Linked DNA regions of Cricetulus griseus. The protein of the gene in region 1 purifies or fractionates together with the protein of each later gene. This does not show direct contact. Links are inferred from orthologs where the notes say so. Each region holds a gene or a part of one and is shown on either strand. Other genes may lie near its edges.

Region 1 (4,130 bases):
TCAATCTTGCCATACTTTTCAAAGTAGTCTCTCAGGTTATATTCTTCTGTATCTTCTTTAATACCACCAACAAAAATTTTCTTCACTGTTAAATGGGCGCCAGGCTTTACAGAATCCTGCAAATAAAATAATTTTAAGTCAAAAAAACCAAACTCTCACAGTTCCATGCATTATACAACATGTTATTAAAATACCTCTCTGGAAACAGCTCTCTTTGGTTCCACCACACGCCCATCAACCTTGTGTGGCCGAGCACACATTGCAGCATCCACCTCTTCAACACAAGAGTAGGTCACAAAACCAAAGCCCCTGGAACGTTTTGTTTGGGGGTCTCTCATTACCTATAAAATAAACAAATGAAAGTATTTAAATAGTCTCATAGGTCCCCATCCCTTCCTAAGACAATCCTCACCCCAAGGACTCACCACACAGTCTGTAAGTGTGCCCCATTTCTCAAAATGTTCTCTTAAGCTATCATCTGTGGTTTCAAAGCTCAGACCACCAATAAACAGCTTCCTCAACTGTTCTGGTTCCTTTGGATCATGGCCCTGAGAAAAAAAGATCGATACAGTTTTATTTTTTCTTGAAGCAAATTGTTACAAGAGTCTCAAAATTTCTATCATTAATACTCCCAATTAAAAATCTGCTCTCTACGCTGGGCATGATAATACACACCAGTTAATTTCAGCGTTTGAGGCAGAGGCTAGCCTGGACTATGTATCCAGTTCCTAGCCATTATTAAGTATGTAGAGGGTGGGTTGTTGCCTTAAAAACAAAAAAACCCCACTACAATGGTACCCCGGGTCACTTTAAACATTATGTAACTAAACTGAACCCCAAAACAATCCCAGAGTAAAAAATAACTTTTTGAAAGCTACAAGTGTATGTTAGGGGTGTATTTCAGATGTGTGTAACAAGTCATTCACAACAAAAAAGAACCCAGGAGTCAGCATTATTCAACCCATGCCATTTTCACTATCCTCAGTCTGGAACAGCAACAAACCCGTATTTTAAAACACAATCTGTGAAATGCAACTTAAAAAGTTTGGAGTGGCAAATTGAGAGAGATTCAGATTTCCAGCACATCAGTTATCTAAGACATTCCTAGGCATATCCCACAAGAACAATACAAATCAGCGATAAGATTAGGCCCGTAGTGCTTTGAGAGGGGAGCTGCTGAGGGAGGTTCTCAAGGACAGGCTAGGCAAGACTGGGCCTTGAGGCAGTCCTACTTCAGCCTTCCACGTGCTAGGGTAACAGGTGTACATCATTACACCTAGTTGCACTACTTAGCTTTCTGTAATCAATTTAACTTGGTGGATGCCCATTTACATCATATAGTTAAATGATTTCAAACAGTACACCGATATTCACAAGTATATAATTTGAATTTGTCACATATAGCATATACCATCTGCCCAAGGAAGTAAGCACAAAACCGTATTGACTTAGAATATCTGGTATGAATTTTTCATTTGGAAGGTTTTAACATTCAAATGAATTGCTTTTAATGCACGCACTAAAACAATGCAACACAAATCCTTAAAGGAGACTCACAATCACATTTAAAAACTTCTTCAATCTTCTAAAGTAGTAATTAAAGCATTCAATACTTAAATACTGCCACATACTAGAAACACGTTAAATGATCAACTGCCCAAAGTTTTAATTCACGTAGTCCCATTTATTCAAGCCTCGGATGAACGCAATTGACAATACACAAAAACAACATCTCCGTACACACAAAAAAATCCTCGTAGTCGTGAAATTTTGACTGTGGTCGAAGTTCTCTAAAACCAAAATCCAGGAAACCACAACCGGTGCCAATCCACGAGAAATTAAATCGGTAAGATATTAAGCTCCAAATTAGCACTTATCTACACGCAAATCCTTGAAATGGTTAATCCTTCAACCACCAGACGCCATAAGCACTTTCATTCCAAACACTTGAGCGAAACTAGCGGGTTAGGAAGCACCTCAAAGCAGCAAGCATTTCAGTAATGTATCCCCAAATCAACGGTGAGAAAATCCGGCCGGAGATCTGCGCGGATTGCCGTCACCGAGGAGGCCCGAAGGCCCAGATACGCGCAGGCAGCACCCCAGCGGAAAGCACCGCGCCCCGAGGCTCGAGGCCATCTGCGGCAAAATGCCCGGCCGCCTCTCGCCGCTCCCTCCAATCCCACGCACTCCTCCTTGGCGGCGTAACCAGGCGGCGGCCATTGCGGGCCAATGCGCCATTTCGTAACGCGGCAGCGGATCAATGTCAATGTGGCCGCCGCCCGCCTGCTCGCTCGCTCGCCCGGATGTGCTCCTCCCCTCCCCCACCGCCTCCTCCCAACCGCTCCCGCGGAGGCCCGCCATGCCGCCCGCGGCCTCGCCAGTCAGGCCGCGCAGGCCTCGGGATCCTCGCCCGGCCGCGGACCACCTCCCCGGCCGCGCCGCGTCTCCGAGGGCTGCTGGTGCGGCCGACCGAGAGGGCCAGGCCGACCGAGGGCCTCGATGGGGCCGCTAGGCCCGCTCCCCTCCCCCTCCCACCGCCCTCTCAGCGCAGAGCGCGGGACGATCGTCCCGGTTTCCCCCGGCCTCCCCGCTCCCATCGAGCCAAAGCCCCCCCACGCCGGCAACTACCCAGCAACCCCCCGCTCTCCCCCTAATACCTCCTCCCCCCGGCGGCGGCGGCGACGGCCGGAGTCAGGCTGGGGGCGACCGGGCGGCGGTTTTACCTCCATTTTGAGACCGGACTCGCCTCTTCCAACTCGAGTTCAATATGGGACCGAGAGGAAGAGGCGGGGCTAGTCATCACGTGACGCGCTTTCCGCGCGCCGCCCGCCCCTCGGGGGCGGAGTCACGCCTAAGCGGAGCGCGACTGGACGGGCGGGTTGGCGGGCCGAGAGCGGCGGGTCCGGATTGGTCGAGCCGCGGGAGCGCGCGCGCCTCACCAACTTCCAACGCAGCGCCGCCCTCGCCGCGGTTCGCGCCAGGCAACGTCAGGTACGTCAGCGGCAGCTCGACCAATGGCAAGCGCCCACGTCGGGAGAAAGCCGCGTGACCGCGCGTCCGCCCAGAGAAAGGCCTATTCCCTTTCTTTTTGGCGCCTCTCGCCCCTCCCCGCGCGCTTTTGGGTCTCCATTTCCCAGTTCACCCTATTGCAGTGCCGGAAGGAAGAGCACGCTTTTCTGTCCTGCGACTTAAGGTTGCCAGAAAGCCTGCGGACCCCTTTGCCTCCCTCGCGGAATCTAAATGTTGGGGGCCCGAGGTGTGCAGAGTGTGACGGCGCCGTCCCCTTGGGAGGCCCACGCTGCAAGCCCTGCGGCACTGACGTTCCTAAGTCCCGCACGTCGCACGGGCGGGAAAATGCGGCTGACTGGATGAGACTCTCTATAGGCGACTCTCAGAGTTAAAGAATTAAGATTTTTATCAATCTGGGGGGAAGGAACGGAATCGTTTGTTTAGGGCACAGAATTTTAGAGAATGGAGCCATTTCCAAAGTTTCTTTTTTTCTTTCTTTGTTTTTATTTACTTATTTATTGGGGGGGGGGTTCGAGACAGGGTTTCTCAGAGGTTTGGAGGCTACCCTGGAACTCACTTTGAAGATCAGCCTGGCCTCGAACTCACAGAGATCCACCTGCCTCTGCCTCCGGAGTGCTGGGATTAAAGGCGTGTGCAAACTAACGCCTGGCTCCAAACTATCTAAAAAGGTTTGGTGGCCAGATAGGCTGTCTTTTACTAGTGTCTTTTTAAAATGACAGCTGTTTGAAGTTTTATTGTGAAGCACATAAATGAAATAGAAATCGAATCCTTTCTCGGCCTGGCAAAGGGATTTGAAATCATTTGGACTTTTAGATTTTCAAATAAAAGTCAACATAGGATTCGATGATCTCCCAACACCCATGACAACAGGCGTGGTATAGCATATCTCGAGCCCACTCTGACCTACGTGGAGTTCCAGGCAGCCAGTGCTGTATAGTGACACCCTGTCTCAACAACAACAACAAAATCTGCAAATCCATTTAAATAAAGTTACTAGGGGAAAGAACAGCACAATTGACAAGCCCTTTCCTGCAACAAATAGCCTATTTTAATTTAAATTCAGCATAACAGAACAAACTTTGTCTTTCCCTGTGAGATAC
Region 2 (3,518 bases), on another chromosome or scaffold:
AGAGTAAAAGAATAAGCTGTCCAGAAAGCACACACTTATAATTTCTCCTCTTGGGAGTTGTAGTATAAAGGGATTTTGAACCTTGATGGCGAGAATCCCAAACAAGAGTAAAATGAATTCTTTTTATTGCAAACAAACGTCTAAATTAATTTCTCCACCCACTTTCTTTAGAAAGAAAAAGAAATCAGCAGGCTAAGGAGATACCCATTCAAGAACTGACATGATTAAAAGATATAAATGGGTGACTCACAATTTCATTAGCTTACAAAGATGGTGGAGTTAACTACTACAAGCACACTAGTTATACAGTATTTTGTGGGAGAAGGGCATACAGACATAGCTAACTTCATATAGATCCCATTAGACAACTGGATTTACAACAAGTTTTTTTAATAAGAAATGGGCAAAGCCAGCTTTCTTTTCAGAATCAAAATGCAGAACAAATGGAAAAATTTATGGTATTTAACCTTCACAAGTTTGAGCCTCCACATATAATGCAACCAAGTTTACATTTTTAACAGCCCTTCTACATACACTCCATCTTCTCAATCTTGGTTCTAAATTTTATCTTCATTCCCAATTGTTCAAATTCCATTGTTAAACAGAAAAAAGAATAGCTTTCCCGGTTTGTCAGAAATTTCCTTTCCACTATTACCCACCAGTTTACAGAGAGGATGGAGTGTATTATGAGCAATACAGAATCTTATGCAATTCATGAGGACCACTTAGTCCTTCCATGAATCTGGTTGCTAACATTGCTATTTTATTGTGACAATGACTCCCGACTGTTATTCTCTGTGAGAAATGGGGGAGTAAATGCTTAATAAAAGACACCAGGTACAAAGCAACATTTTACTTTTGTTGTGATAAAAAAAAGTCACATTTTACAGATAAAATGTAGAACCCTGAAATACTGACACATTCTCTTATCGTGCACAATGCTGAGGTTCTCTTACGATTCACTTTAAAACTGCAATTAAAAATGTACAAAAAAGAAAAGAAAAAAAAATCAACCCACAAAGCTTCTAAAAAAGGAACCCGCAGGCACTTCCTCTTGTGGAATGTTTAAAAAGTTAGCCTACTAAAGAAAACAGTCGACTTCTTGTGAAGGTTTTGGAGAAATATGTATCAGTTCGTTTTATTTGGGTATTCAATAATATCCTTGGTGATAATGCTGACTCCATGGCTTCTGACCCCAGAATTGCTGTAAGAGAAAATTTTGTTTTTAAAGAAAAAAAAACATCAATAAGCCACTCAAATTGTTTTTAGGAAATGACAATGATCTAATTCAGAGTAATTGCTGGAAACAAATTTATACTTGTCACACTTAATTTCTACATCAGACCAGAGACTTAGTTTTAATTTACCAATTACCCATATTATTTACCAATACACATTACAAAAAGAAACACAAGACTTGGGTTAGTTTACGTAATTAAAACTATTAAAAAGAACCATAATAAAAACACCGTATGTAGTAAATATTACTTTATCTAAAAATCTGTTAAAACTCCAGCCTATCCATGGTTACAATTTATAACACAGTAATAAGACTATAATTGTATCAAACACTTCAATCCCTAGATAAGAACTTCCGATCTGATTCTTGTAAACATAAAAACTACAATTTATGTAATTACTTAAGAAAACTACTTACACCCTGCTGCCACTGGTTGTAGCCCTGAGATTGATTTTTGTAGCCACGATTGTTTCCTCGTCCTCTGAAGTTCTATGAAAGGGAAAAAAAAATATCTGTAAATAGGTCTGAAGTAATGCTTGGACATTTTAAAGGGGCATGCTGAAACCCTGTATACCCCTGGTCATTGTTGTTACTGTTAGTGCATCTGAAAAGCAAAGATCATTAAACTAAACTGCTTCACAACTATGTCAATGCCACCTACAACTTTCTAGGTCAAATTATAGATGCTAGCTCCTCTTACCTGGTTGTAGTTCCCTCTGTTGGGCATTCCACCTCTGTTGTAATTTCCTCTGTTCGAGTAACCACCTCGGCCAGGAAAAACAGGGCCCCGGGGGTATGGGTAGCCAATTCCACCACTTCCACCACCGCCACCTCTCTGTGGCATATTGCCTCTCCTATTATATCCGCCACGATTACCAGGAGCTAAACACAAGAAGAGTTTATTTAGTCCTGCCATAACCTAGAGTTCAGTCCAGTTACAGCATTAGTGAAAAACAAATAATGTCATACTTCACTACTGAATATATAGTATGAATTGTAAATTACATACTAATTAGACATGGCAGCATAAAATATCTAAGAAATTAACTTCTTTAGCTACTTGACAAACTAAAAGATCCTCTGCTCACTTTAAAATTTCAATCGAATAGAATATTAAAATTAACTTGCCTCCACCTCTGAAATTGCCACCTCGCATATTGAATCCTCCACGTCCTCTATGGCCACCACCTCTGTTGAACTGGTTCTTGCCACTCTTATTTTTATTGCTCTTCTTTGAGCCAGTATTTTGCTTCTTTTCTGGTGGGAGTGCCTTTTTGCTTTCTTCCTTGTATTGCTCCAAAAGCTTTTGGGCTTCTTCCTTCTGAAGTTCAACATAGGTTATTTCATCAAAGCACTCAGCCACCTCTGGCAGGGTAAAATTTCCTATAGGGAATAAAGTCAGATTAAAATTATAAAACTATATTTGTTCATGGATAGCTTAGAGACATCTTTTATAAACACATTTCTATTTGCCAAATTAATATAATTCCTAACAGTGCTGGCAGTTTTAAAAAACACTTTTCAGGCATAACTCACAGAAACAGACTTAAGACAGTAAGTAATAACAGGAAAACTCCATGCCTTTCATTTTAAGGACAGCATGCTCTGGTAGGTCTTTCCCCTCTACTTCTGCTTTCTTCTGTGTCCTCTGCTTATAGTCTTCATCTTTTGGGCAAACTACGACAGCTTTTCGCTGGAAGCCTGCAAACAGGCACATTTTTCTCCTTTGGGCCGCAGCAGACACATTTGTCTTAAAGGGAAAAGTGAAGAGTTAAAAGACATTAATCTCACATCTTATCAATTAATATTAAAAAAATTTCAAAGCTTTTGCTCACCTGATCCAGAATAAAATTCCGCTTCTTGCGGGCAGCAATCTCAATAAACTTCCCAAGACACTGTGGAGCTCTCTGCAACAGCGTGTTCAGTTTTCCAGTATCTGCCATTTGCTTCTTAAAACCTGCCACCTACCAAAATTTTTCTTTTACTTTGTGTATTTTAAAAGCTCTGAACTGCACATACAGGACACCAGGCACCATTTTTACAAATTCAACTGCATCCTTTCATTACTACAATAGCTTTTATGACCTTGCTCTTTAAATTGCTGTTCAAGGTTAATTTATGGGAAAGCAATCACTAAAGTACCCCACTTTGTTTTAGCCAAAATTCTTTTCTCTAAGATATTAATAAGAGAAACACAAGCCAAGGTTAACCTAGGATAACTTCTGAACCCATTTACTATAATTCTAAGATTAATGTCAGGGTACATGTAATGTATACT

Evidence for each region. Proteins that work in one complex are often made in the same cells at the same time.
Region 2: the proteins of Hnrnpa3 (region 1) and Hnrnpu fractionate together in Homo sapiens (co-fractionation; 3 studies listed by BioGRID, with this or other methods). This does not show direct contact. The link is inferred for Cricetulus griseus from reciprocal best matches to the Homo sapiens genes HNRNPA3 and HNRNPU.

Annotation. Positions count from the first base shown.
Region 1 is NC_048599.1:99,409,903-99,414,032, forward strand, and holds the start of Hnrnpa3 (heterogeneous nuclear ribonucleoprotein A3), read right to left. Parts: upstream 2,809-4,130; 5' UTR 2,730-2,808; coding exon 2,658-2,729; intron 549-2,657; coding exon 426-548; intron 342-425; coding exon 195-341; intron 117-194; coding exon 1-116. UniProt on the Homo sapiens protein: Plays a role in cytoplasmic trafficking of RNA. Binds to the cis-acting response element, A2RE. May be involved in pre-mRNA splicing.
Region 2 is NC_048598.1:15,825,520-15,829,037, reverse strand, and holds the end of Hnrnpu (heterogeneous nuclear ribonucleoprotein U), read right to left. Parts: intron 3,205-3,518; coding exon 3,076-3,204; intron 2,991-3,075; coding exon 2,822-2,990; intron 2,624-2,821; coding exon 2,369-2,623; intron 2,123-2,368; coding exon 1,941-2,122; intron 1,730-1,940; coding exon 1,658-1,729; intron 1,205-1,657; coding exon 1,151-1,204; 3' UTR 109-1,150; downstream 1-108. UniProt on the Homo sapiens protein: DNA- and RNA-binding protein involved in several cellular processes such as nuclear chromatin organization, telomere-length regulation, transcription, mRNA alternative splicing and stability, Xist-mediated transcriptional silencing and mitotic cell progression.